Arabidopsis thaliana: one gene and its partner. The protein of the gene in region 2 interacts with the protein of the main gene of each other region in a pairwise test. Each region holds a gene or a part of one and is shown on either strand. Other genes may lie near its edges.

Region 1 (15,806 bases), on a different chromosome or scaffold from region 2:
CGTGGAAGAATCCTCCAATACTGACCTCCAGGAAGTTGGAATCTAAACATTATCAGTAACACTAGAAGTTAACACCCCTTAAAAACGAGTACACAAATACATAGGCACAAAGCATTGAAAAGAGATTGAAGATAGAAGATCATTAATGTTCAACCTGAACTGTACCAAACTCCTCTGTGCTTTCATCAATTGAAGTTCCGACAAAGTCAAATGATACACACCTCAGTGCAAGAGAAAGCGCCAATTCTTGTAAACGACCAGCGGCTGGTTAAAAGAAAATATCTGACTCATTACAATTGAAAATTTCCACTCCTATGCTAAGACCAACAGATATACATCGACAAAGATAGTTACATACTTAACGATTACAAAACATTCCAATGTGCATAAATTATGAAGCTGGTATGTAGAAGTTTTCATACTTGGCATGACGGAATATAACGAAAATTTTGACATAGATGACTCATATTACCATCATTTTTCAGATAGCTTAATGACGTCAAAGCTATTCTGAAAACTTGAAATAAGGATTGATCCCTAAAGTTGCATGCAACCCGCCGATGATGTGTAGATGGCAGTCCTGGATTAGGCTAAGAATTGAGCAAAAAAGGGATGAAAAAATGTCAATAAGCATTTAAAAAAAATACCCTGGTAAGTTGGAACACAGTAGAAAAACAAAAAGTTAGAAATAAATACCCTCGAAAAAATATAGTTTGTGACACGCTATCTATCTAAAAGCATGCACACTGTGCACATATAATTCTGGCCAGTCTAACAAAACAGCCATCTTAAATGTTTTTAATTAAAAAAATAAAGGAATGGTGAAAACAGACAATTATTTAGATACAGCACAAACCTCCCACTTGTATCTATAACAGACTGCTACTCTAGATCGAAAAGAAACAAAAATATGAGGCAACTCAAAGCTAATATACAAAAACATGACTCAAATGCAATTAGCAATACATGCCAAGAACTCAAACTTAAAAGAGAGTTATTCCAGCCTATGTTAGGACATGTCTGTGACATGGAAAATCAACCACAATACATCACTAACCTGATTCATCTCCTGCACAAGTTGATCCAAAATTCTTAAACCAATAGCATAGTGATCCGAGGAACCCTATTGAAATAAAATTGATGTAAGCAACGTATTCAGCAAGCCCTTGTTAAAAATATCTGAAAATTCTACAAAAAAATGTCCACAAAGCACTGTATTCCCCCAGAAGATGAATCACCTGTTCCAAGAAGTTTGTAGATTCCTTAACCACATCCCTGAATCTATCATCATCTAACCATCCAAACTTTGTGAGCCGGCAAAGCAGTTGAATGAGAGAAGCGATAACAAATGATTGCATCTTCGGTCCTCTTGTAGCCAGATAGTTCACAATATAAGCCCCTAAAGACAACAGAAAGAACACCAGAAACAAGTAAGATATTAAATGCCAAAAAGAGATATTCTAGTTATTTGGTTAGGAGGACATAAGAAGTTTACTGATGTCAAGGCGAAGATTCAGCGGAAGAGTATGATCAGTTACTTGCTTTAACAAACTCGAGCTAGCGAGCATTAAGGAATAAGGTTTTGATGAATTGTCGAGAATGTATTGACATTGTGATATATAATCCGTATTCACAGAAAAGCATCTCAGACTATTTTCAGCATGAGCCCTCTCAGCTGAATCCTGTGAGTTGTATAATCTCTCGCACATTGCCTCAAGTTGCGCCAAGCTCTCCATTGGTAACAAAGCAGAATCTGACCAAAAAGGTAGAAAACCATAGATACCACTACCGTTTTAACAAGAATATTTTGACAAGATTACAATTATATTACAAAGTATTCTGATTTAAGAACTGTTAAGTGGCAACAAAAGACATGAATGAATCATTACAATAATATTTTCCAGAGAGCCTTCACTGTTTCAATCAAAATATCTAGAATTGGATTGGAAATTTAATATCACAATAAGGCAAACAGGTTGCAGGAGAAAAAAAACAAATGATACATTTCCACAGTAAACGCAACCAACCATTCTTAAGAAAACTGAAACACCAAGATCCAAACAGAGATGGAACAACATTAACAATGACAAAAGTGCAGTATGAGTTAACACAGACAACACAAGTGAGCTAGCGGTAAATATCATGTAGATCTCATACTACAAAGAAGCGCAAGAGAGAGAAGGTACACAAATAGTATTAGAAAAATATGTAAAAGCCTACTGGCAGAGATAAGTTCCTAACTCTGCATGATGGAAAATGTATTCAAGCTGTCTATCACCTTACTCCAGCTCAGTACTCGGGTTGATTTCTGTTTAAAGGCCAAAAATCAAAATTCAGTTGCCAAACCACCCATGTAAATACTCATACTAGTCATACAAAACGCCGGACTGACACACAACTCTAAGTGAGACCACACATTATCAAAATGCTGCTATATAAGCTAATTACAGCAGAAATGGAAGAGAAACAAAACTCTTAGACGATATTAAGCTCAGACTTTACAGTATCATTCCGCCACAGCTAAATCCTATCTGATTTTATGAAAGCGCAATGAAAAATGTGTTGATGAAACAATAAACGAAGTATGTAGACAATAGCAGTGGTAACCATTCGATACTGTGCAAGGATAATCATAACCACTTGAGCACAGAAAACGGAAACAGTAAGGAGAAATGAACACATAGAAAACCTAGATTTCGTATTTCAATAATATCCTAATCATTTGGCGCAAACAAACACGAAGAAGATTTATCATCGATCTTCACAACTTCACGAATCACAACATTAAGAAGAACAAACCATCGAGCAAGAGAAAAACTCGGAAAAAGCAAACGATGTGAGAAACTAAAGTTTGGCTTACCAGAGATTGAGCTGGTAGTTAATCAGATTTGTTGTTCGGTGAAGTTTTCCGGCGAACTAAATCTCGATCAAGCGAAGCGTCGATGGTTACAACGAAGCAGAAGAAGAAGATTAAGAGACGTGCAGTCTGATCAGGCGATGACAGCGTTTATAACGCCGAAGAAGAGAATTCACCGATTATATTAACTTCTTTTTTTGGTTCAGATGCTCCCTCACCTCTCTCTCTCTCTGGCTCGAGAGATGTTTCAATATGGGCCTAATTTAATGGTCCTAGGACCATACGTAAAATGGGCTTAAAAAGAAATAAGGGCTTGGTTGTGTTGAATAGTATAAAATCGAAAAGAGTGTGTCAAACAGGTTTAGGATACTTCCCACTTTTAAGCAAACTGCTTTGTCTCTCTCTATTTCTCCTTCTCTTCCTCTTCTTTGCGCTGCCGCCGCCGTTTCCTCCTGAACTTATTGAACTCTTCTCGTTTTCGTCGTCTCTTTTGGACTGCGATAACTTCTTAGGAGAAACTTACGGCAGGCTAATCTAGGCAAAGGCAAGCTCACTTTCTGGTGAGAAAAGTTGTTTTTCTTTTCTGAGTTGGGTCGATTTTGTTGAGATCGCTTTAAAAAATCTGACTTTGTATCTATTTTTTCTTGAAGAGGTAAACCCTAAAAGACGAAATCTTAGGGTTTCTATGTTTATTGTTTGTGTTGATGATTTTAAGTAGGGTAACTATAACTAGGGTTTAGGAGCTATGTATTGAGTTATTGATTGTTTGTTGACTCGCTTCTGTTTCAACCTCCGTTGACAAGTTTCAGAGAGGATGTTGTAATACGTATTTACTGCTTCTGGTTTCTTATAAGGCTTTTGTGAATGCCTTTAGGTCTTGTGGATTATTTGGATTTGTGACACTGTTCTCTTGGTTTTGATTGCTTCGTTCTGTTGTGCATCTAACTACTTTGTCCCTTATTCTAATCAAAGACAGTCGTTTTGAAATATCCTGGGGTTGTGGATCTAAAGTAAAAAAGTTTCTATCTTCATATAAGTTTATCTGTAGTTTCTGTATCCTGTCAATATTTCTATGGAAATATACCTGCTTCTGTATATAACTGTACTTTGATTCTTTGTTACAGGAATAAACGTTGGTGATCACTTTTGAAGCAAGGTGGACTTGAAGCTCTGACACATATTTCATCATGCAGAGTTGGGGAATTAACTCTGCTATTAAGCTACTTACATACTCCAGTGAGCTTAAGGATGGACAAGCGCTCTATGCTTCTTCCAATTGTCATCCTGTGAAGGCTTTAAACCGTGAACCTGCGGGTCATGCCTTCCATTCTGCTGCTCTCAAACTGCGTGGTTGTGCTAAGGAAGCCACAAGCAAGAACGAAGATACCGATAAGAAGGTCCCTAAGGAGAAGGATGGTGAATATATTCCTTCCTATGACTCCCATAACATCAAAGGAAAGAAGAAGTCGGGGAAGCTACAACATGATCACTATGCGTTGTTGGGTTTGGGCAATTTAAGATATCTTGCAACAGATGATCAGATCAGAAAAAGTTATCGCGATGCTGCACTGAAGCATCACCCTGATAAACTGGCTACTCTACTTCTTCTTGAGGAGACAGAAGAAGCAAAACAAGCCAAAAAGGATGAGATAGAATCTCACTTCAAGTTGATTCAAGAAGCTTATGAGGTTTTGATGGACTCAACAAAAAGAAGAATATTTGACTCTACAGATGAGTTTGATGACAAAGTCCCAACTGATTGTGCTCCCCAAGACTTCTTCAAGGTTTTTGGTCCAGCATTTAAGAGAAACGCAAGGTGGTCAAATTCGCCTTTACCAGATTTGGGAGATGAAAATACACCACTTAAAGAGGTTGATAGGTTCTACAGTACTTGGTACACTTTTAAAAGCTGGAGAGAGTTTCCTGAAGAAGAGGAGCATGATATCGAGCAAGCTGAATCCCGCGAGGAAAAGAGGTGGATGGAGAGAGAGAATGCAAGAAAAACTCAGAAGGCTAGAAAGGAGGAATATGCTCGGATTAGGACTCTTGTGGACAACGCATATAAAAAAGACATAAGAATACAGAAAAGAAAGGATGACGAAAAGGCTAAGAAGCTGCAGAAGAAAGAAGCAAAAGTTATGGCCAAGAGGCAGCAGGAAGAAGCTGCTGCTGCAGCTATTGAAGAAGAGAAAAGGCGAAAAGAAGAAGAAGCAAAACGTGCGGCAGAGGCTGCTCAGCTGCACAAGAGAGCCAAGGAAAGAGAGAAGAAGCTTCTGCGCAAAGAACGAAGTCGGCTCAGAGTTCTCTCCGCCCCTGTTCTGTCCCAGCGTCTGCTTGGCATATCTGATGAACATGTGGAAGATCTATGCATGTCACTTAACACCGAGCAGTTGCGGAAACTGTGTGACAAGATGGAAAACAAGGAAGGGATGGCTTTGGCAAAGGTGATCAAGAATGGGAGCAACATTGATGATGATAAAATAGAGATTGAAGAAGAAGAAGTTCAAGTAGCTGTTAAGCAGAATGGTCATATAGAAGCCAATGGTCATGTAGAAGCCAATGGTCATGTAGAAGCCAAAGTGGATACTGCTACTCATGAGAAGAAAGAGAAACCTTGGAGCAAGGAAGAGATTGACATGCTGAGAAAAGGAACAACCAAGTTCCCAAAAGGAACATCTCAGAGATGGGAAGTCATATCAGAGTACATTGGTACAGGAAGATCTGTGGAGGAAATTCTCAAGGCTACTAAAACAGTACTTCTCCAGAAACCCGACTCAGCTAAAGCTTTTGACTCTTTTCTGGAGAATAGGAAACCTGCCGCTTCAATCAACTCTCCTCTCTCTACACGAGAGGAACTCGGAGAACCAATTATACCGACCAAAGCTCATGAAGACAACAACTCAACCAAAACAGAGACCGCAGAACAGAACGGTAAGACCAAAGAGAACAACAACAGTAACGGCAACTCTGAACCAGCAGCAGCATCTGGTTCAGACCCAGACGGTTGGTCTGCTGTGCAAGAAAGAGCTCTGGTACAGGCTTTGAAGACGTTCCCAAAGGAGACAAACCAAAGATGGGAGAGAGTAGCAACAGCTGTTCCAGGGAAAACGATGAATCAATGCAAGAAGAAGTTTGCTGATCTTAAGGACGTCATCAGAACCAAGAAACCCACAGCCTAACCTATCCGATTCCTCGAGCTGCACGCTTTGAGATTTTGTTTTGACAGAGATGAGCGTGGACTCAATTTTTGCTACAATTCATATTTTCGTAATTCGTATACATCATCATGCTGCTCTTATTCTACATAGAGTTTTTGACAACCGAATCTATTCTTATTTATCTATTTTGTTCTAATTTTATTTATGCTCTCTGTCTTTATTTAATTTTTTGATCGTCTGGTGTTATCTTGTTTTCATTTTTCTATCTAGTCTACAAACGAATAGCCGAAGGGAGTCGTTGATAAACCAAAGCGAAATCAAACTTAATCCAAAGAGAAATATATTAAAAGAAACAATTCTCTGTTTAACATTGAATCAAATCAACTGTCTGTATGTATACCATAGTCCTTAAAGAAGCCAGTTCTACAAAATCAACCACTTCATCCTCCTGATGAATCGTCATTATGGGTTATTGGTACAGAAGCCAACAAAGTATCGGCTGTGATCAAAAGGCTCAAAGAAAAGATATTGTTCTTGCATTGGCAGTTGCTAGTCCATGACCATGAGAAGTGAGAACTGACAGATTCTGAACGGCTCTAATCCAATCCACACCACCAATGGAGTGGAGGATTTCCCGGGCTCGTTAGGGTAGTTCTGTCATTTGACAGACAGGTGGCATGTTGCTCCAAGAACAAGACCCAACTCCTGAGGATGCCCCAACACTCATATTCATATAGTCATTTCCTATGTCATCGCCAAGGAGAACCGCGAGTGCGTCGCTCATGCTACCTGTCTCTTTCACAATCCCTAAACCATGGTCAAGCCAGCTCGATGCAAGCAAAACGTCAGGCCTTGTTATATCCAAGAGAGGTTTCCGCTTTTTTTCTCTCTGCCCTGCATAATTTTTTAAGTTTAGGTGAGTTCTTGATCAGCTCAAAATCTCGGCTATAAGAAACAAATTAATGCAAGTGATGATTCTCAAAAAGTAAAATCAGGATACCAAATAGAATTCTAGGGAAAAAGATGAAATCTTCAACAAACTATTTCAAGTGATGGTAAGGTGAATAGTAACTCACTTGGTGGAGTTTCATCTGCATTTTGTGTGGACATTTCGGAATGAACCAAGAAGCTCTTAAGGGAATTGTCAAACTCCTCGGATTTAGTTTGGGATACAGTAACCTGGCCAAGATCAGCTGATGGAATAGTTGAAGCGCAGCTCCTGTACAAATTGTTCTTTGTACTATTATTTCTGATCTTGGCTTCCAGAAGCAACATATCGAGCAGACCAGTATCAAAATTTGAATATAAATCTGACTCTTCTCCCCCCGTTGGTGGTGGTGGAGACTGAATGTAAGTATCAAAGGGATCAAGGAGATCAGAGTGTGGAGGAGATGACGATTTCTTCCACTGGTCAAATGTTGTTTCTGAATATTGGAATGAAGGGAGCTCCAGCTTCACTGCCCCATATAAGGGCTTAGAATAAGGAACAATGCCATCCGTAGGGGTATGGCTATCTGGAATCATAACAGGTGAATGTCGGTTTCCATAGAGAGGATGCTCAACATCACAAGGAACTGAGAAGCTGCAAGTTTTGGAAATCGTTTGTGGAGATGTGTTCCGGAATTGTTCAGGCGACGAGAATTCTTGCTTTATGGTACTGCTACACCCAGGATACAACAACTCAGATTCCCAAAGTCGCTTCGAGGAGGGGATTGTTGGTGTCATGAAGTTTTCATATCGAGGAGAACTTGCACAGTTACCCATATTTTTGTAGGCAGTCATATCTGCTAGATCAAAAGTACCAGGTACCATGTCGGTAAAATTAAGAGTATCAAAGAAGACATTAGATTCACAACTCCCCAGCTGCAAGAAATCTTGATGTCTTCTATCTTCTCCCATAACTCTACTCTTGGCATACTCTTGACTCCACTCAAGTGCCTCAACATGCATCTCAGGAGGATAAAGTGGCAAACCAGCTCGTTGTCGCCTCTTGATACGAGTGTTCCAATAATTCTTTATCTCATTATCCGTTCGGCCAGGCAACTGGAGCAAACAAAAACTCTATGAAATTAGTCTCGAAACACACTTTTACAAAAGGAACCATATCCTTATCAGAAACAAAACACTTACATGTGCAGCCATACGTGCCCATCTATTACCCATCTTGGCATGCAATTCAACGATAAGCTGTTCTTCTTCTTGACTAAAAGCTCCTTTCTTCAAATTTGGCCTCAGATGATTAGCCCATCTTAGACGACAGCTTTTACCACAACGAAACAAGCTGGTGTGTTTCTGCACAGCATTCCAGTTACCCTCACCATGCTTATTCACATAGTCAATAAGAATATCATCTTCAGCTGAACTCCAAGGGCCTTTCTTGAGAGCATGACCATCCCATCTACTTCTGCAGTCACTTCCATTATCATCAGCAGCTGGTGACTCATTATGGTCACTGTCAGTGCTCGTGTAACTCATCTCTTTTCTAATTAAACCACTGACAGTAACAATTTAGACATCAAGCTCCCACCTAAACACCAAAAACTTCAGCTTGAAATAAAGAAAGTTCATAGTCATAAAGAATTAAAAGAGACGAAAGAGGAAAACAAACCCTAAATAAGGAAAGAAAAAAAAAACAAAATCCAGAACTGTCAGACGCTGGATACCTGAAAACCAACAGAGAATAAAAATTAGATTGAGAAGATTAGTAGTCTATTACGAAGAAGATCAACAACAAAGCTGATGCAAACATCAATCGAAAGCGCAGATAAAGATCAGCTGAAATAGATCAGAACGCACAAAGAAGATACTATCAGATTATGAATATGAAAAAACAGAAAACCTGATTTGAAATCTAAGCTGAAATTGAAAGTTTTTAAAGATCCTAAGGACTAATCAATCATAGATCCATGAAAAGCAGCAATTCGAGATAGAAACGGAAAGATAATCTAGAAACAAAAAATTATATTTACGCGGAGAGAAGCTCAAGGCTAAGGAAAATACCAAAGCTGGATAGAGATCCGAGCTTAGCTTGGGCAGCTGAACATCGAGTGGAAATGGAAGGAGGGAGAGAAGCTTAGCTCTTTCTCTTCCTTTTACTCTTTTCTACTTTCTATCCCATTTTTCTTTTTCTAAAACGTTTTCTTAAATATATTATAATACGATAACTTGTGAAAATTAACTATTTTATTATTGTTATTAGCATTGTAATTATGTTACTAAAAATTAATCAGAGTTTTTACTAAATCAAAGCTTAAGCAAAAATAAAAGCAGCTTATGAAGACAATCCTTTTGGTTTATTAACTGAAATGCATTCAGATAGTAAAAGAGTGAGATTGAATAATTGATTTGAAAGAGTTGTAACTTGTAAGAAAGAAATAGAGTTGAATTGGTCACCTTTTTGCAGCCTTTTTTGGTCACTCTCTTTATCTCATTTCATGTTGTGTCGTATGTTTATACGTATGTATATTCCCGTATAAGGACAACACTAGGCTTACGAAACCTACTTCTGATCCTAAAGAAAAGCCCACAACAGAATTCAAGTTAGAGATACTAAAGCCCATTACGTTTCTTCTTCTTAAGAATAAAACAAACAAATAAAACATTTTTCTTTAGTATTATTAACCTAATTAATCTAGAAAATTTTATAATGTTAACTGTTTTCTGAAGCATGTACTATTAACTATTTTGTTAATGTGGCGAATCTAAAAGTTGGCCAACTCTAACGGGAAGGCGGCAGCTAAAAATTTGGCGGTCAAAGAGATTGTCATCATCCAACCAAATACGCAATTAACTATTATTTGATCAAAAAAGTTATAAGATGATATTTGCAGCTCAAGTTTCCTTAATCAATTTCTTAGCTACCACCACCAAACTATTAATCGTCTGTGCATTACCAACCATTATTTTTCTCACCCTTAGTTTGTATGATTGAAAACAATTCTATACATTCTTTTAAGATGTGATGTAAATTAAACATAACCAAATTTAACTAACAAGTAGTTAGATATATAGAATATTTGGACAATTTTGTCAACGTATTTTCATAAAGCGAAAATGTCCCAAGGAAATTATTCTATTGGGCTCTCTTTTGAAAGATATGTAAAAACGTTGTCATGTATTTAATTTCAACTTTTAACAAAAAGGTTAATATACTTGCGATTACATTCGACAATTTATAAAGTAAGGAAAAAAAAAACACAAAACCGTAGTCATAATATACTTTCAACAAAAAAATCTTTAAAAATGAAAACTTAAGCAATCAGTGATCGCGTAATTTAGAGTATATAATTATCAAAATAACTTGTAAATTAATGCAAAAAAGGTTTGAAAGTGGTGACGACCTTCTTGACTTGATCGAGAAACGACAAATACGACACGGTTCCGTCGTTCCCTGCGAGAACTCTATACTTATCCTTCCTCGTAAAGTTAGTACACTCAAAGCCTAACGTAGCTGCCAAGATTCTCTGTACATAGTTAGCCACGTCATAAGGGCTCTTCCCTGACGAACACGTCGCCTCCACCTCGAGCTGGTTCAAGAACGTCACCTCATAAACCGGTCTCGGGTTCATGAAAAAGAAGATCGGGTCCAAACCTTTCCAGCCTCTAGCGGTAGTCGCATGAAAGAATCCAACTCTGTAGTTCATTGCCACGGGCACAATATTGTCGGTTAATTCTGCGAAAAGCGCGCTAAATCTCAGCAAAAACGGCTCGCGACAAGTGGTTCCCTCGGGATATACCACTAAGTCCCCATTAGACAGTTCTTTCTTGATCATCTCCGCATCTACATCTCGAATTCTAGTTAACCTAAAGGTTGGAATCGGAGATAGGATCTCGGATAAACGAGAAATAGAGTAGGTAACAGCTGGAATGCTACGTCCGAGCACATAGGATAATACGACCGGATCCATTAGAGTTCTATGAGTGCATACGAATAGTACGCCTGGGTTTCCGGTGGTTGCTTGTGCCGGAGGCTTTCCTTTTACGATGAATCGAGTGTTGAATATCCGTGAGACGTAAGGTATGGCCCATAATGGAAGTAAGAACCCAACGAATATCCGAATCATGGCTAGAATTATTCCAAAGGGGATCCAAAGAAGGATGATGAGTGCGGTGGCTGGTGTTGGTAGCTTCACAAGTCGTCCATCGTGGAAGATAACTGGTAACGGCTGCACATGTAGCCGCTGGTTATGACCGTTGTAGTTCGATGGAACTGGTGCATGAACTTGCTCCTACATGTACATAACATATGCAATCATTCAGATTAGAAAAATGATAGTAACGCTTTCATAAATTATAAAACAACCTAAAAGAATTCCTAACGTTATGTTGTCTTTAGTACTTACCTCACATAAAGATAGGAAAGTTGGAGAATCCGAGATAATATGTCGTCCTAGACCTAGTTGAGGTCTCCGATCCACAAACAAGTTAGCCACACTGTTGAAAACAGATTGGTCCACATTGGTTTCCTGAATCAAACCGGTAGCATAACCGAAACGGTTTACGACAATCTCTGTACCGATGACCTCATCGGCGCTAAGATGATCCTTAGCGAATCTCTCCACCATAACTCGTGGCATTCTTGTCACAACGACTCTCTTATCGCACGAACCAAACGCCCTCCAAGCGTCCATGCTGATATCGTCCATGAAGAATTTGGGAAGAACCGCTCGAGCCACTGATTCAATCTCTGATTCGTGCAAACCGGCCGTTGCGACGAAGATCATTAACTTAAGGCTACCGTTTCTGTAGCCCAAAACGTCAAGGAGTGCTATGATAGGCCAGAGAAACAGCAAGGTCGCAAAACGGATTAGTCCTGAAGCCTCGAAAGCTACGAGCATGAAGTAGGCGAAGGGTTTTGGGTTTTTCAGTAGTGTTCCTTCTAGCTCCGACACAACTGAATACGATGTTGTAGTTGATGACTCCATCACAACTTAACTTGTTTCTTTTTTTGGGTGTGTGGTTTCTTGAGTTTTTGATTTGTTTGAATATGGAAAATTGTGGATTATAAAGTTTGTTTTTATAAGGTTGGTTGGAGTCATTTGTCTCTAATGCAATAACACGGCAGTTTATCAGTTTCGCAACTACTTTTTTTGTTTATGAACGCATTAATTTGTATGTCAATTTAATTAATAATTAGTTTAGGTCAATGTATGAACACATAAGATAAGATACTGAATGTCACGTACGTGTTCTCTGATTCCTTTTTATATTGACTACACGTAAGATTTACAATCAACGAATCGAAACAATTTGATGGCTTAACTTTCACCAACTTGATTTTCCGAATTTTCGGTTTGGCTGCGCCAATATTAGGTCACGTGTACACCTAAAAATATGAAGATCATATTATGTATGCGCGTACATTTGGAATGTGTCCATATGTCTACACGTGTAACATGTACGTGTGTGGAGATTGTGAGAATAGGAAACGGACCCTTTATTTGCTTTGTTGGCATGTGTATTATTACGGAAAATTAAATACTGTATGATCGACAGATTTAATTTGTTTGTTGGCATTTGTACTAACAGATTTATATATGGTCGACAGACGACAGGTTTAACATCCCGTCACATCATCATAGTACTTTGTGGATATTCGGCCCTTAATTTTAACATATTTGATTCATTTGACCGTTTTCACATTCATCGAATAATTACGTTTTGCTTGCGTGGTTCAATTTGGTTTATCAAATATGTGGGTTCTCTTGGGCTTCTTTTTCTTTTCAGTCTATGGTGGACTTTGTCAATTGAACGCAATCGGTACTAAGAATTTCTATATGTAATAGAAAAACTTATATGAATAAATAATATTTTTATTTATTAAACTGAACATTTATTTAATTTCCCAATTATTAATTAAAAATATATAGTGTTAACTAAATAAAATGAAAAATGTTGCACAGCAAAGGCAAGACAAGATGTGGTAATTAAAACGATAAATGTTTTTCCCTAACATCCTTTCTTAAGTTTTGAAAGTTTCCATATTTAAAAGTGTTAGTTCTTCGTCGTTGACTTGGTGCGAGGTTTTTTGCTTCTTCCAATTGTTCTCTATCTTAATCAGGTGTGACTATGTTAACTAAAATTAGGTTGGAAAATCAACAACTTGCATGAGAAACATATCTGAACAAAAATGTGCGATTCTTGAAGTTATACTATAGTCTATATACGTACTAAAGTCAAATGGTACGTTGCTTCATCGAGACACATACATAATTCATTCTTCTAATAATCGACGACTAGACCGGTTTTAATATAGGTCAACTAATCGGTACGTAGCTATATATATATATATATATATATATACATATCAACAAATTGAAATGTTAAAAACAATGTAATAATCGAATTTGTGAACAAAATCGGTCGACTACACCAACTAGCTAGTATTTAAACCATCCGTAATCCGTAGGTCACTATAATAGCAAAAAGAATATTTGTTGTGTTTTTGTCCGTCACTTGGCTGTTTTATTTTTCTTTGGGGTAGTGTTATATAACTACTAACGAAGTTCTAGAAGATACAAATTAAAAATGTTTTCATAATTTAGTCCATAAAACAGATGACACCGGTTGGGCAATAGGCTTTAAGACCCACCAAAACAAAAGATAGCTAGAAACGAGAATTAATTATGAATGAGCCTAATGACACGCACATACAGGAAGACTAGGCTCGTAGGATTCACATATAACAATATCATATAGAAACGAAGAATGAAATGTTAAAGTTATAATTCGTATTAAAATAATGTCACTAATTAATATATGATTGCATGCGTGATTAAAGACAAACGATGTAGCTATCTCGAAAGTAGAAAGTGGTAAGTACCATCGGTGAACGCCTCGTTAGTCCCAATCCCAATGCCCCATTTTTCCCTTTTGTACGTCTCTTTGTTTCTTCCGTGCTTGACTACATCTTCCCAAGGCTGTATCCAAATATGTTTTGCAATGTTATTGGCATTTGGGTCTTAGTCTGCATTTTCTAGCTCATTTGGTATTTCGAGTTCCATTAGTATATGAACACGTTTTATAAAATTAACATCATTTCTGTAAGGAAATGTTTAGGAAGAAGGTTTCTTTAACTGGTTTTAATTAGAAATATAGTGTCCTATTTTTGGAAAACAATAATAAAATGTGGTTCTTTTGAATGCGTTAAAGTTACGGAGAAAATAAAAACTAGCTACAATGAGGTTTGCAAGGGAGCACTTACAACAGTAGGTTCAATGTTATTGGCATATGGGTCATAGTCGCCGACTTTTTTTTGGTGTTTAATTTTCTTATTTTGCGCATCCAACACAATAAGTGGCAAACAAAGAAAGGGCCAATTATAAATATAATAATCACAGTTATAGATTGATTAAAATCAAATGGACACTAAATTTAGACATTTAGGTTATCAATAATTATTGATCTATCAAGACAACATAGTCGTAGATATATATAGGGGAGGATGATTCATAACCTCTATATGACTATTGTCTAATCCGACGAGTAATTGGCGAGAAAATGTATTTTTGATTTTAAGTGTGCTGGCATCTAGATGCGGGCTTGATTAATTTCGACATCAGACAGCGTTTGATTCCAACAAATGAAAACAACTACATACACAGAACAATTTAAATATTCTGGTTTTTAGTGATAAAGCTAATGTTATCTTGTTATGAGATCTATTATGATTAGCAATACTAATATATTCAAAAGAGAGAAAATAGCAACAACTTCTTGAAATCTTTCTAAATCAGACCAGAAATCTATGTGTGGATCGGAGTAATGCTAATTATTATAGATTTTGTATAACATTAGGCTTTGATTTCCTCATTTTACAAAAAAAAAAAAAAAAGACTTTTTTATTTGTTTTGATGTATAATTTCTATTCGTATCAAATAGTATATATCTCTCGGTTTGATTACTAATAAGGAAAGAAAAATCTGGATTGGCTTCGATAAAGAAGTTCAATGTACAACCAAGTTGATTGGAGATTGACCTTTTCTAAGACACTGTACCTTTTGTCTGTGTCACCCCATGCAAAATGGCTGCATTTGTATCCCAACCAATTATTTATCATTTCCGTAAAGCCTAAAGACTATTTAACAGTTGAGAAATAAGGAAAAAAAGACTAGTTTGTCCTAAGCATATATATAAATGATTTTTGAAGAAAATTTAAAAGGCACTTTAAGCCATTAAATAAAATATGGGCTTGCCCAAAACAAGCATGAAAATGTAGGCCACGATGCAGACCCCCAGAAAATAAGCTAAATCAAATTTTATATTAGGAGAAGAGACACTAGCTAGACACGTACTGGATATTATGAAAATTCGACGTACATATATGTATTCCATACAACATATATACTCGTACCAAAAAAAAAAAACGAAAATGTAATTTAACTATAGTGTCTAATTTGTACCTTACTATTCATGAGAATATTGATCAATCAAGTGTAAGTAAAATACTATAAAGTTATAAAAATGATTGATGTTTATCTCAAAATTGAACTCTTTTGCCCTTCTTTCAAGAACTTTTAGTGGTGGGGCTTATAAAAACCAACGTGATTTGTCTCAATCTAACAAAAGGTAAAAACATAAAACAAAACAGAGTAAAAGAAAAAATGGCAAGTCATGGATCATCTTGTGGAGCATGCAAGTTTCTAAGGAGGAAATGCAACCGCGACTGCGTCTTCTCGCCTTACTTCAGCTACGAACAAGCCTCTTCCCATTTCGCAGCGGTTCACAAAGTCTTCGGCGCAAGTAATGTCTCTAAACATTTGCTTCATTTGCCTCAACATCAAAGAAACATC
Region 2 (15,740 bases):
ATACGACTTTCAAGGACATTATATATTGAACAAATTCTAATTTTGACCATCTAACAGTTCATGGCCAGTTAATCTTTCCTATCTCCATCTTTGTTGGATTCCCCGGAATAACCGGTCGTGATTTTGTTGTAGACTATTTGGACAAATTAAACCGATTTTCTCTCTTTTTTAGTGTGAGACACATGTGTAACAGATAAGTTATAGAAAAAGACCAAGTGTTGGTAGCTTTGGGTTCGTTGCTGCCAATGCCATTTTGTAGTTTTTTCATACTAAGATCCTCCGGTTCACAAGGCTACTGTTAAAAAGAAAAATTTATTAAGATTTATAGGAAAATGGCCCCACTGCTCCATGTACAAACATGGTCCGGATCCCTAAATATTTCCTAAATCAAAATTTGATCAGTGAAGATTTGACCTATAATATAATCTTTTTATATATGTAGCTTTATCTTCTATTTAATCTGAATCCTGATACCCAAATGTGATCCATTGATAACTTGAATTATTGGAGATGAGAAGGAGACAAAGCATGCAAAGACTTTCATCTCCAAAAAAAGTATTTTAATAAATGTCTGTACTACTCTTGTCTTCTTGACCTTTATAATGCCGCCCGTTGGGTCCAAATCATTCTAAAGCTTCCATGAACTGACCTTCAAAGAATACGAAATTACACTATCCCTCTCAATGAAGTTAACGTTCTTGTATATAGAGTTCAACTAATTTTGTTATCATTTTTGAAGCCACATATAGGATAATCGATCGGTGGTGAAAAAACTCTTATATGTAAATGGCAAAATGCAGTGGATTTACATGTATCATATAAAGTTTAATTAGATTTTATCTAATTTTATATTCCCAATTAGTAAATCGAATGTTTTCTGTATACTAACTTTTTACTTTTATTCTTTTAATGTTTACTTTCAAACTAACCAACTTCATGGAATTAATGAAGGTCAGTATCTTGCTTTTGGTCGAGGCATACAAAAGTAAAGGAGAAGAAAAATTAAGTAATTCTAATCGAACTACGAATGTCTTTGGTTCTAATTATATATATATATATATATATATATATAATGCAACATTATTTACAGACTTTCCATCGACTTACTAACCATGCACACATCTAATTTTCTAAAGAGATAAAGAATCAATTTTTTTCTAGAATCTTGACTATCTCCCATCAATTTTCTTGGATTTCATATCACTATATGAATCCCTACCTTTTGGATTCTTTCACATGTAGAAGTGAGATAAGATTTGTTCTCCTCAGAAGATCCAAACTAACGAGAACGAGAACTGTTTGATCTTCAAAGATTAGGATTTTTCTGTAGGGAAGACAATTATAAACTATTAGTCTTTCAGTTGTCACTTCCTCATTTTAGTCAACATGCAAATTTCTTGAACTAATTATTTTCTTACGTAAAAAAATTTCGTATACCAAAATTAAGCTTAAACATTTTTTTCATTAAAAACTATAATAAGAACACATTTTTAAGGAATCCAAAACAATCAAAATTTAATAAAAGACCGATAAACCCCTCCAAGTTGTAAGAAGTACATAAATATAATATAACCTAATTAAAGTGTGCATACTCGTTAAACTGCCAAATGTCATCCATGTTCCACATTAGATCTTGTGTCACATCATCCTCGTACTTGGAATCAGCCACGTGACAATCATGCAATGCTGAAATGTCTGAACTGCCCATAACGGCCACCATGTACTCCTCCTCTAGGCAAGGGAAGGAGCTATAAACCTCACTCACACATTGACTACTACCCCCTCGTGATCCTTCCAAGGACATTGTGGTTTCAAGATCAGAAAAATCCATGAATTGTGAAGTTTTCTTGAGATCTTCTGACATGGAAGTGGAACAATCCATGTTGTTGAAACCCAAATCTTTGCTGTCTCGTAAAATTGGTCCAAGTAAATCAGGAGCATTAGCTTTAATATTGTTGGTGTATGAGTTGTCTTTAATCTCGTTGATCAGTCTTGGAAACCAAAAGCTACGAACAACTTCTATGAACTTGTGGCTATTGGAATCTATGTTGAGCTGGCGTGCTTGTTTCTGGACTCTAGTTCTCCAGTAGTTTTTGATATCGTTGTCTGTTCTTCCTGGTAAATACTTCGAAATTTTTGACCACCTAATTAAGAAGCAACATGTTACACGTTAGATTATAAGAAAATTATAAAGCTAAAGAGAGCATTTGAGTAACTAACTTACCTATTACCCCATTTAGAATGGAGCTCAAGGATTAAAAGTTGTTCTTGAGGAGTGAGATTCCCACGCTTTATGTCGGGTTTAAGGTAATTCAACCATCTCAATCTACAACTTTTTCCTGCTCTCTTTAGCCCTGTTTTTTTGTTTTTTTGTAAAAAGAGATCAAACTTTTAATACAAAAATATGAAGTGGGAGGAAGACATTTTCACCAATTGCATTTTGTTGGAATAGTACAAAGAAAACATAAAAGAAAAGAATATTACCAGAAGATTTAGCGAGCAGATTCCATCGGCCTTCACCGTTATGGGAAATGTAATTGGTGAGAAGAGTGTCTTCCTCGAGTGTCCAAGGCCCTTTCCTCTGCTCTGCACCCTCTTCATTTCCATTACACTTCTTCTTTGTTATATTTGACATATTAATATGTTCTCTTTCTAATTGTAATTAAAATATTTCAGTTTTACGCTTTATTTGTGTTTGTGTGTGTAGAGAGGGGAGAGAGAGCCGTGAGATAAAAATAGACTAAGAGAGAGGCTTTTATGATTTGGGAAGTGAAAGTGAATTCAATGGTTGTATGGAATTTATAGACTCGTGATATTGGATAATGTTCGTACTTTCTTTATATAGATCATGATTATTCAACCACTAGAAATTTTAAAGTATTGACGCATATATTTTGGAATTGTTTAAAATTAACATTATATCATTTCTTTTATATAATTATTTGTTTTATTGTATTTTATGCTTTCCACTCTAATAGTTATTTACACTTTAAGGGTTATAAATAAATATACTATATATATTTGTTATGCAGGGACGATATGTTGTAGAGACTAGTCAGTAATTCTACGCTTGTACGTAGTTTTTTCATAGAACTAACAATGAAGAAAAAGATATCATTGGTTTTAAGAAAACCAATTTGAAAAGGAAAAACAATTTTTACTATGATTTAATACATTTCTGAACCTATATAGGGGTAGATGCTGAATTCGAGTCTTGTATACTATATTTAATGAGATATGTGTTTGTGAATTCACCACACACATTGTTAAAAGGCAAAACGGCCGGGGTCTAGTGAAAGCATGAACCAAAAAATGTTTTTAAAAAATTGGTTACAGAAACGAATAATTCATCTATTTAAAACTACATCAGAAGTAATAACGAGCTAAAAGAACAGGCTTTGCAACTTGTTAAAAGTACAGGCATTTAAGTTCGACGTATTAAAAATCAATCATATCTTGGCACCGCGAAGTCACCATCTTGGATTAAGATACTCTAAAGCAACACGTGTCATTCTTGGATAGTTGGATACTATTCATTCTCAAATTCTTGATAATTTGAGAACTGAGAAACATAAAAAGAAATTCGTTTTTATGGATAATTGAATAACACAACTTCTATTTCAAGATAAGTTTAGTGGGGCAGAACAAAAGTGAAAAGATAGAAACACATGGAAAGAAGAATAGAGACAACATGGGGTGGAGACAGCAGAGTAATTAAGATTTCCAAATATAGAATTAGTGGTAAATTGTGCCCATCAGTTTTTTTGTGTGGAAACTCATTAGTGATTAGTTAAAAAATATATTTTATCCTTCTTACAAAGATGAAGTTTTTAGAGATTTCACGTTATTTAAGAGATAATATATAATGATTATTTTAACTTTACATATTTACTTTTACATAAAAATGATACTTTTATTTGATGACACAAAAGATTGTAATTATATATTCGGTGCATTGAGGGAAGAGAGAATGTTGGAATGTGTCTTTTAATTAATGTAAAAAACTAGTCTTACGACTGAATTTTTTTTTTTACAAAAAATTAGAAACCATGTAGTAATGATTAATGAAGAGCAAAATAGGAAAAAAATTCTAAATTTTGTATTGATAACATAAAACGTTTATAGAGACTTTTTTTTCTTTAAAAATCTATCTTTAAAAACATAATGAGTATATATATATATGAACTCGGTCAGCTGATCCCATCAATCTCAAAAAAGATGCACCAAAATTCTATTATGTGGACTCGTCGCCAACACCTAGATGTTGGACTATCACACTTGCCGATGGTGTTATAATGCCGACTCGTGACGTTTTTAGAGCCCACTTGATCCGAGGACGACACTATGGTAACAAACAATCATCTTTAGGCACAAAAACAAAAACAAAAGCAATCATAAATCATAATTAGGAATAAATGGCTCAATGAGGATTTTACTGGAAGTCTGCAAGACTGCTCTCAATGGCCGGTTGAATTCACCACTCCCCTGTCGGTTTTTTTCAAATTATTGGTCTGGTTCAATTGTGGTCGCCCCTTTATTATTATCTCCCCCATTTTTCTATGGGCTAAAAAAAGGTGGGCCTAGAAAGGCCCAGTAAATAAAATTTCATGAATAAGTCCTCTTTCCTTAGTAATACATATTAGGCATAGGAAATTATTAAAGAGATTGTCCAATTTATGTTGACCATTTTTAAGTAACGTAAAGGTAAAATGAAAGTAGGGGAAACGAAACAAAATTAATGTGAAAGCGAGATATTCCCAACGTAGAACTATTAGTAATTGAATAGTTGCCTCATTATTGATGTAAGAAAATGGAAAGTAGTAAAGCCAATCTTTATCAATGGAGATGGGCTTGGATTTTTCTGCTTCCTCACAATCATATCCATGTCATTAAAGTCAAATTTCCTAATTTCTTTACTTAAAACATTGATTGAAAAATTTAATCACATGTTAATCGTAACAGTTGTGGAGAAAATAATCGTATCCACTCTAGGTTCTTAAGTCTCTTCCAACCATCCAAACCTTCAAACTAAGATATGCATCCTTTTGATTACTATGTTATTTTAGTTTTGCCATCTACAGCCTCTGTAAGTCTTTGAAACTGCCTAGACCACTTCAAAACTCACACTTAACTTATTTTGAGAAAATATTATATTAACTTATTTTGAGAAAATATTATATAAATCTTATTATTTTCTTACAATATTTATTATTTTCTTACAATATCGATTTAAGTTTTACCAAAAACACAAATGGTCCAAATTTTTTAAATAATAATAATAATAATAATAATAATAATAAAACAAAAGTTTTACCAAAAACAATGTAAGTATTTCCGGCAACTAGCCGAGATAGCCGCTTAATGTTAAGTCGTCGTACTTAAGTTTTGTCCGATAGCCTAATAATGCAAAACTTGTGATGATCGCTCGTAGATCATTAATGCAATTTCTTCGGTTTCAATTTGGCACCATACTTGTTACATTAAAAGGGATACTCAAAAGGTCCCGACAAGTTAGATATATCTAACATTGAACATGGGTCCCACAAAATCTACTGCACAGTGATAAATGGAAACCTAGCTACGAGTGTCTCTTTGGTCTCACACGCTTCTTTCTCATTCTCACCAAAAGTCACACAATACATGAGCAAATAACCAAATCATTTAAAAACTTAACTTATTAAATATTTCACCCCATCTTAGACATTTCTATCTATATAAACAATCACAACTCAATTGCAAGTTTTATAACTGTCTTAGAGAAAGAAAAAAAACAAAACTAGCTCACAAAAAGGAAATCATATTTTGATTTAATTTGTAGTGTCTCTAATGGCACGGTTTGAGCCATATAACTATAATAATGGTCATGATCCTTTCTTTGCACACATTAACCAAAATCCAGAGCTAATAAATCTGGACTTACCAGCTTCTACCCCTTCCAGTTTCATGCTTTTCTCCAATGGAGCTTTAGTTGATGCCAATCACAATAATTCTCACTTCTTCCCAAATTTATTGCACGGTGAAAATTTTATAATTTTATTGTTTGTGGGAAAAACTGTTATATCTATGTTTATGTGTGTTCTGATGAAGCTAGAAATCGCAGGTAATACGAGAAGAAAAGGAAATAAAGAAGAGAGTGGGTCGAAGAGAAGAAGAAAGAGGTCGGAAGAGGAAGAAGCCATGAATGGAGATGAGACTCAGAAGCCAAAAGATGTTGTTCATGTCCGAGCTAAGAGAGGTCAAGCTACTGATAGCCATAGTTTGGCTGAAAGGGTAATTCTACAAATACATATATACTCAAAAGTACAAAAAACTTCACTTTTCTTAGTTGTGTTGGATTCTTTGTGGAATGCATAAAGGTACGAAGAGAGAAGATCAATGAAAGGCTGAAATGCTTACAAGACCTTGTTCCAGGATGCTACAAGGTACTTGAATTAACGCAAACCCTAATATTTCTTTTTGTTTGTTTGTTGTCTACAACTCCCTAATTTTTGTTTTGTAATTAAAATAAAATCAACAAAACTCTAAAAACAAGTAACTCTAGATAAATTAGTTACCTCTAAATCCAAGTAACTCTGGTGCTATTTTTTGGTTTAAAAACACTTTTTAAAGATAATTTTTCAAGCTCACAATTCTTTAACTATTAATATTTTTTTTCTATGTATCATTGAATTAAAGTGTAAAAAATTAGGAATCATGTGATAGAATATTTTAAAACTATAGAAATAATTAGTTTTTGTTTTTGTTTTTTCGGAACGCCAAAATCTAAAAGGGTGTGGCAGCGTCTCTTACGTAAATGAACAGATTGTTTTTTTGTATAGCGATTTTTTTTTTCCACAGTAATAAATCAAAATGGGTTTATTCTCTATAATGATAATTCAAAACGTGATGCAGGCAATGGGAATGGCAGTGATGCTTGATGTCATCATAGATTATGTACGATCACTCCAGAATCAAATCGAGGTTAGTTAGGCCATTGATTTCACTCTTCAAAGTTCAAACATCCCATTAACTTTTATAATATCCCACTAATACTTAAATGTTTTCCTGCTTTGGCCTCTTGACTACAGTTTTTGTCCATGAAACTCTCAGCGGCAAGTGCATGTTACGACCTTAATTCTTTGGATATTGAGCCAACGGATATATTTCAGGTAACTATCACATAATATTACATGATTAAAATTATAATAAGATAAAACATTTTCATGGATTTGTATTAACAAAAAAATGATTACAGGGAGGGAATATTCATAGTGCAGCAGAGATGGAAAGGATTTTAAGAGAAAGCGTTGGAACACAGCCTCCTAATTTCAGTTCAACATTACCCTTTTGATCATAAGAAAATTATGAATTTTCAGAGAAATTATTCTCTTTTTCTATAATTAAACTCCATAAATAAGGACTTACCATGATCAGTATATATAGGTTTATCTATCTTTTGTGTGTGACGTCAGTATACTTTTATCATAAATGTGTAACCTTATGATTATGAAGCTTATCCATATAGTATGTACCATGAAAATGAGTAAAGCTATATGTTACAAAGAAACTCTATTTGAAGTAACATAAGATTTCGATATTACAAGGGGAACTAACAACAACAGTAAGACTTTTCCTTTAAACACATTACATACACACAATTGACTTGCAACCGTTTTTGTTACGAGTCACTGAAGGCAAATTTGGGTCAAAGCATCAGCGATATGCTTCATCGGTGGACGTTTCTCGGGGCTAGTACTAACACAAGCCATTGCAATTTTCAACACGGCGATGACCTCTTCTTCAATCTCTGTGTCATTAGGCACCAAATAAGGATCCAAAATGTCTGACATCTCTTTCTTCTCATCGATACACATTTGTATCCACTTGACTATCTCCATTTCCGATTTACCCACGAAAACAATCGGTAATCTTCCCGTTATCATCTCTAGCAAGATCACTCCGAATGAGTATACATCCCATTTCTGTGATGGCTTCACTGTTGCTTTAGTGGCTTCAGGAGCCAGATAAAATGAGCTCAAGTTTGCAGATGATCCAATCGATGAGGCGGTCTTGTTGGATGGTCGGTCAACTGTAGTTGATTCCAATGTTCCAGCAATGCTAGAGAGGTGCATAAGTCCGAAATCCGAGATATGAGGCTCCATATCCTGTCCCAACAGTATATTGCTGAGTTTCAGAGATCCATGAACATACTTTTTAGGACTAAACTCGTGAAGATACACCAGCCCTCTTGAGATTCCCCTCATTATCTTTAACCGAACTCCCCAAGACAGAGGCTTGAATGACACCATTCCAGGATTTCCTAAGCATACACAAAAACCAAAATTGAGTTTTCAAGACAGAGAAACGATATGAGAAGTATTATCATAAAGGTTTTATAGTTTACCGTGGAGTGCATTGGTAAGGCTTCCATTAGGAATGTAGTCGTAGATGAGAAGTTTCTCTTCAACTGACCAATAATAAGCTTTAAGACTAACGATATTCGGATGCCTTAGCTTCCCAATTGCTTCAACTTCTGTCTGAAACTCCTTGCATCTTTGGGAACCTCCTTCTCCCAGTCTCCTAACAGCGACCGTTAGACCATCTTCGAGGACAACTTTATACACAATCCCGTTCCCGCCTTTTCCAAGAACGAAAGCTGAAGCCTTAAGCAGCTCATCTAAATCCAAAGCAATATGTTTATCCAACAGAACAAGATCTTGTTGTGGCTCAAGATTTTCCGAAGAAGGGGACTCTGATCCATCTCTTCTGAAACAGAAGGAACCTTTCTTTTCTTTCCCTTCTTTCTCCAACACATAGCCTTCCTCATCCACACTATTACGACGTGCACAAATCTTCAAGTAACAACAAGAGAAGAGAAATCCCACAATGCAGATTCCAATGAAATCACAAACCACAATTGCAACAATAGCAGTTTTACTTAAACCTTCTCCTTTCTTTGACCCTCCTCCACCTTGCTCGTTGTTATCCGGTACAAAAGGGTGAGAAGTTGAAGAACTATCCGTATCTGGCAAACAAGGATCCTTCAATGGAGGGCCACAGAGTCTTGGATTCCCCAAGAATGCAGTTGGTCCTCTGTTCACCAAAGCACCGGTTTGTGGGATTGGTCCACTCAAGTTGTTGTAAGCTAGATTGACATAAACTTTCTCAGGCAAATTCCCCAAACTAGCTGGAATCGAGCCACTAAACGAATTATGAGACAAATCAAGAGTTCCTTGCAATCTAGTCAAATTCCCCAAATCATCAGGAACAAGACCAATAAGATTGTTAGAAGAAAGATCAAGCTTCTGCAAAGAAGCCAAAGACTGACCAAATCCACTAGGAACAGAACCAGTGAGATTATTCTGACTCAAATCAAAGCTCCTAAGCCTATTACACTTCAAAACCGATTCTGGAATAGACCCATTAAGAGAATTACGAGAAAGATCCAAAATTTGCAGAAACTTTAAGTCACCAATCTCATTTGGAATGGACCCAGACAAGAAATTCCCATAAAGAACCAAACTTTGAAGACCTTGAGCCTTAAAAAGCTCAACAGGTAAGTTCCCACTAAGCTCATTGCTTCTCAAATTCAAATGACGGAGATTAGAGAGTAAACCAAGAGAAGAAGGAAGATAACCTAAAAGTTTCTTCTTTGGGATGCTAAGAGAGACAACAACCTTGTTATCATCACAAGTGACTCCATTCCAAGAACAAGGGTTTTGATTCTCTGAGTTCCAATTGCTTAAAGAACCATCTGGATCTTTTGAAATAGACTGCTTCAGAGTTAAAAGAGCAAACCCTTCGTCGTTTAGAGCATTCAATTCGCCATTGAAGTTCCAGATAAGAAGAAACATGAATAAAAGAGATCCCACCGACATTTCGGAGGAATCAGTACAAAAAAGTAGCAGAATTTGGACAAGAGTTTACTTTTGGTAATGGAGATATCAAGAATGAGAAGAGTTTGCGGAGATTGATGAGAGAATTGGAGAGAGAAGAGCAGTGAGAGTGTGAAAGCATGAAAAGGGACTGTGAGAGACGTTGATAGAAGATTCGGGCTTCCTAAGTTGGACCTTTGGACTTTGGTATCTATCTATAAATATCCCAACTTTTTTTTTTTGAGATCAACAATTTATTAGTATTTTTATTTATACAAATTTCTGTTTTCATTTATTGGTGAATTAAAATCAATGTTGAATAGTTTAAGTGATATAGAATGATGGGAAAATACAAAACTTGAGAATGATGATGACAAATGTGCAAAAGATTAGCTCTTGCGGAGAAATTCATGCACTTTCTTTATCATAACGAAAGAGCACTTATGCCAATTTTTATATACTTTTAGCTCACATATTATTATTACAATTTTTCAAGAAAAAAACTTTAATATTAAAAGAAGCTGTTTTATTTGTTATTTTTCGTTTTCTCTTAATGAAAATTTGTGATTTTCATACTTCAAAAGGAATGAGACAAACTAACCGACCTTTAACAATTAACTATATTTAATATGATTATAATTACCAAACAAAAATGTATATTTATGATTATCATTTACAATACAAATTTTTAAGTAATTGTATACAAGATATGTATGAGCTAATGGTTCCAGTCGAATGAATAATAGTTGCAGTAGACAAGAGTAAGCTGGAGTAGAAAAAGTAATACCCCTACTTCTACTTTATTTTGTAAAGAAAATAATAGAGTGATTAGTACGGCTCCATGATTATCCCACATTCTATGTATAACTATATATAAAGGGAACACCTTTATGAACTATGATGTCCCTCTTTGTATGTTTTCCAGCCGTTAACACACACATTTGTATCATCAAGTAATCAATTTATTGAAAAATGTGAATCATGATGTCTATAGTTGTCTAGCTACTCCGAACGTATACTAACTAATCAGTTTTAAAATTAGTTGATATTCAATGTATGTGCATGTGAATGTGTAGATGTAAATGTAATTTGTGAAACTTAGTTCAAGCTAATTAACTAAAAGGAAATAAACATAAGGTTATACAAATGGAGATTGTCTATATGTATTTGATTAAAGATCTTTCACATTTAATAACAGTTTGGGATTTAACAAAAAAAACATAGTTGTGGTGGTGATATACTATGAAGTTATAGATGCTGATTCATAGTAGTGAGATTAATTTTAGAGGTTTTACTAACAGCCAATAATAGAAACTTCTTTCAAATAATTAAAATTTCCTATAAAATAAAGCACATGAATGAGAATGACACCAAAAAAGTAATTGCAGTTCCGATAGGATAGAAGAAAAGTGTTGCTAAAAGAGATATCATACATTGAACAGACATGCCTGGACCTATGTTTTATGCTTTGCTTTCTCAGCATATCAATCATCCATACCACCAAGGCACCAACACTATATAATATTAAGTGAAGAATGAATGTTCTCAGTCTTTGTAAATTAGACTGGACAAAAGAATACTACGAGAACGTAAAAAGATTAAAATATCATTTTGTTTACTATTTTTTATCAGTAAAAGCACTTTACATATATATAGTGTGCCCCAGTAAAAGAGATGGTGGATACATGGAGCAGCAAAATATGAGTATAGACCAGAAAAGATAATCAAAGCTAGGCTCTAACTTTGGCACGTTGAAAATAGGAGCGTGTGTTCGAGAAGTTAGCCGTTGCTGTGGAGCACTGGAGCGCATAGACTATCTAACATCATTACCAAACTACGCAATCCACATGTATTACGCAATAACATGATCTCACTTGGTCTTTGTGTTTTTTTTCTTTTTTCTTTCTCTATTGCAGTTTTCTTTAATATTTTCGAAACATCATGTTTATTAATCTTGGTTTCCATGGATGCATATTTTACCTAAATAGTGCAACGTTGTCAAAACCAATTGTTTGGATCGATGATATAACACTCATGTTTAGAAACTATTTACTTTTTTAATATATAAAACTTTGAATCTGAAGAGTCCTAAACTAAGACTAACAAAATAGAGGGACTCATGATCCAAAAGTTCTTGAAATCAATCTTACTTATCATTATATACGGGTAATAAATTTCTCAATCTGTAGAATATTATATCGATTGTGTAAATTTTAAACTATGAATTTTCATATTTCAAAAACAAAATAGCTCAATTTAACATTGTTTTCCATATCCCGAGATTATAAAGCATTTACGATCACCTGAGATATAAAAAACAAAAAATAGTTCATTTGTGAGTTATAAATATGTCACGTAAAATTGTTATAACCTCATGTTGTGTAACTTCTTAAAGAAACTACAAATTAATTTAAAAAATCATCCCAGAGATTTAGTTAAAGAAATTATTACCATGTCACCCATACATATAGACAAATAAGGCTGATGTCAAAACTTTAGTGCTAGATAAGATTTTAGAAAGTCTAAATCCCAACATACATGCTGAATGCTGACAAAGATCATGCCGCATGACAAACAAGGTTGCCGCATGATAAACAAGGTTGCCGCATGAACCGTTTTATAACCGGATATCTCCCTTAGCAACTCAAGGTTCTCTCTAAACCGGAAGGTACCATTCAGAAATATTGTAACTTACATCACTAGATTAATTAGATCATTCTCGAAAATATTTAAATATTTGTATTAAAGGTACGACGTAGAGTACTCCTAATGCATGTGGAGTTCTGAGTAAACGATTACAAGAGCCTCGTGACTTCGTAAGGTCCTAATATTGTCGTATTATGTGTGTATATATCCTGCATTCCAAAATCTCTAATTTTTTAAACCGTAGACTTAGGTCAAAAATGGACACGTTACATTTCTTGGCTATATCTATGAACCTTAGATGTCCACCTTACATAAATGTAATTTTATTTAAAGAATTAGTAACTTAGTGACGAAGAGTAGCTTTTTGAGCGGCAAACGTTGTTGTTTCTCGTCATGAGTAGTTTACATATATATCCTTTTCTCCCTGTATAAGTACCCTTGAAGCATGTCTGCGTTAAACTCAAATCAGCCAAACTTATCAGTAAAGAATCACTTAAAACTATCAAAAGAATGAACAAGGACGAAGTATTTCTTCGGCAATGGTTTGAGATACTATACTCGCTCACTAATCCAGAGGCGAATAGTGACTTGCGTAGGATCAACAACGAAAAAGGTGTAGAGAAAGTAGGGCAAAAGAGGTCAGCTGAGTCGAGGAGAGAAGGAAAGAAGAAGCGAGTTAAGACACAGTGCGTGATTAAATCTTCAGACAAATCTGATCATGATACCTTGTTGAAGAAGGTAACCAATAATAGTTGTATTGTTATGATACGTCTTCCCCAAGAAACTCTTGATTTACTCTTTTCTCTTCTTTGGATACCTTAGAAGAAACGGCGGGAACGTATAAGAAGGCAACTAGAAACACTTAAGGAAATTACACCCAACTGCCCACAGGTTCACAACTGCTTCCTTTGTTAACTGATTTTTTTTTCTTGGGAAATGTTAGTTTTGTTAATGTTTTTTTTTTCCGTATAATCTTACAGTCTGATATCAACGCCATCCTTGATTGCGTTATCGAGTACACGAACAACTTGCGCCTTGCAGTTCTTTTCGGAGGTAATTTTTTTTTATGGCCATACTCTGATCTGTTCGTTAAAGATTATTTATCTTTCTGGTTTTTAAATTTCTCTTCATTTCCAGCATTACAAGGGTTCGCAGGGAATATGTGACGACTGGAGACTGTTTACTGAAGCTGGTGCCGTTTTGTATTATATAGATACTTGATAAAAGTTTCGATTAGCTAAGTTTTCTTATTTTCTCAGTTGTTCTTTGTTGGTTTGTTATAATCAAATTGTATGTTTTTGGTTTAAATATTACGAGTTATGTTTTAGCCTCAGTTCTTCGTTTGTTTGTTATAATAAAATTGTATGTTTTTGGTTTAGATGTTACGAGTTATGTTTTAGCCATGAGACCATCTTTAATTAAATTCCGTTCGGAACTTAGTACTACTGGATCTTGCAAATTAAAAGTTAATGATTTGATCAGTCAATACTCGAACACTAGGCGCCTACTGTCCGCCATTTTCTTTTAATAAAAACCTTATGATATGTTTTGGTCTTCATGAAAAATTAATCTGTTAACAACCGGACCTAGTATCAGTGTATGATCCTTAAAACAAGTAATTCAATTTAAAAAATTAGGATAAGTGTTAGATGAATTGATCTTATATCTAAATATTTGTATGTGTTTATGATTAATTGAAAGTATTTAAAATACGGAAATTTCTGTTTTATATATTTTGGAAAAATACTACAAATAACAAAACAAATGAAAAAAATACCACAAAGATTTTGTTTTATGAAGTGTTCGGTAAAGATTGGGAGGCCAATAATTTGTTTTTTTTTCTAAAAAAATTATATTTATAAACAAAGCAAAATCAGTTGTAATTTTGAGAATATAGATTATCTTGATAATTATCTTTTTTATTATTTGTTAATATGATATTTATCTTTTCATGTTACTTATTCTTCAAATTTCATAAGTTATTAGATATTATCACATTTTAAACAAATTTCATATGATAAAACCCATATTTGATATATTTGTATTTACTTTGTATAAGAAATATCTGAATTTCTTTTTTTATATTTTAAATACCGTAAATATCTGGTTTCTTTTTTTTTGGTGGGCGTAATTATCTGGTTTCTTACTTTCTACTATTTAACATTGATAAAACAATTTTAAAACTAACTCAGCAACATCTAATATTTGAATATTATGTGAGAAATCATCGAGGAGACTTTTTAATAATAACATATTCAATTAAATTCAGAATTGTATTAAAATTTGAGTAAAGATAATCATCAAATCCAATATCTTCAAGTACACCTTGTTCTATTTCCTTTGACATTAAAATAGCTTTTATGGATAAACTAATAATACATAGTGTTAAAAAAGTATAATGGAAATAACTACATAATATCTAAATAACCTATCTAAGTCTTTGCAAATTTATCAAAATCCAAATTACACATAAATCCAATGCAGATAGATTTTGTTGTTGTCAAAGGTATTGTAAAAAGGTTGAACCTTGATCCCAAAGATTATTTACACCTTCCGCATATACATTATAACAGCGGATCCTGGACAGAAGATTACGGGCTTTAGGATGAGAGGAAGAGAAGGCTCCGATGCCGATAGGACCAACTGAGAAATGAGTCAAATGACCCTATTCAATCCAATGATTATGTTGACTCTTTTTAGAAGATAATAATCTCATGATCATCATAGAGCTAATAAGACAATTAAACTACAATTAATTCATAACCACTATTAAGCCTTCATTATATATAAAGAAAAAGATTCCGGCCTTAAGGTGCAAAACTTCCTTGATGGAAAGGAAGATCAGTCACGGTCCAAGAGATATCAACCTAACGTGTTCCATACGCTATATTCTACAACAAAAATTGACTCCCAAACTCAAAAGGATTGAAAGATACCTTGACGTGAAAGAAACTCCCATCAGGTCGCGTTTTCTTGATTTTCCGGTACAGGATCTAACCTAGGAGAATGTTCTGTTGCTGGAGTCAATGCATAAGCAGCCACTGGATAAGTAACCATATGTGGTCGCATCTGCCAGACTGGTAAATAGCAGATTATTAATGGTTGCTGCTGCTGCTGCGGCAAAGGCTCTTGAAGGATTGGCCGTGGCTGGTCTTGAATCTCAACTATCTCTGTTTCCCTATCTAAAAATCCTCCCACATCATTAGCGGCGGAGGTGTTTTCTTGCGGCAACATAGAGGA

What was found.
Region 1: the proteins of AT1G25320 (region 2) and MYB33 interact in a protein complementation assay, tested with the Arabidopsis thaliana proteins (one large-scale study listed by BioGRID).

The regions. Positions count from the first base shown.
Region 1 is NC_003076.8:1,831,239-1,847,044, reverse strand, and holds MYB33 (myb domain protein 33), read right to left. Parts: upstream 9,211-15,806; 5' UTR 9,016-9,210; exon of another isoform or gene 8,679-9,015; 5' UTR 8,624-8,678; exon of another isoform or gene 8,543-8,623; 5' UTR 8,491-8,542; coding exon 8,146-8,490; intron 8,059-8,145; coding exon 7,092-8,058; coding exon of another isoform or gene 7,048-7,091; exon of another isoform or gene 6,910-7,047; coding exon 6,659-6,909; 3' UTR 6,318-6,658; downstream 1-6,317. Other genes in the region: AT5G06120 (ARM repeat superfamily protein), read right to left, coding at 1-42, 155-264, 473-590, 1,058-1,123, 1,239-1,399, 1,496-1,753, 2,242-2,248; AT5G06110 (DnaJ and myb-like DNA-binding domain-containing protein), read left to right, coding at 4,045-6,036; GPAT7 (glycerol-3-phosphate acyltransferase 7), read right to left, coding at 10,323-11,243, 11,358-11,939; LBD33 (LOB domain-containing protein 33), read left to right, coding at 15,618-15,806. UniProt on the Arabidopsis thaliana protein: Transcriptional activator of alpha-amylase expression that binds to 5'-CAACTGTC-3' motif in target gene promoter. Positive regulator of abscisic acid (ABA) responses leading to growth arrest during seed germination.
Region 2 is NC_003070.9:8,872,105-8,887,844, reverse strand, and holds AT1G25320 (Leucine-rich repeat protein kinase family protein), read right to left. Parts: upstream 10,056-15,740; 5' UTR 9,858-10,055; coding exon 8,384-9,857; intron 8,300-8,383; coding exon 7,665-8,299; 3' UTR 7,457-7,664; downstream 1-7,456. Other genes in the region: MYB116 (myb domain protein 116), read right to left, coding at 1,216-1,324, 1,593-2,144, 2,225-2,339, 2,485-2,635; CES (basic helix-loop-helix (bHLH) DNA-binding superfamily protein), read left to right, coding at 5,827-6,016, 6,101-6,270, 6,357-6,422, 6,892-6,960, 7,068-7,148, 7,235-7,330; MEE8 (basic helix-loop-helix (bHLH) DNA-binding family protein), read left to right, coding at 13,011-13,238, 13,326-13,391, 13,481-13,540, 13,638-13,721; AT1G25300 (Octicosapeptide/Phox/Bem1p family protein), read right to left, coding at 15,459-15,740.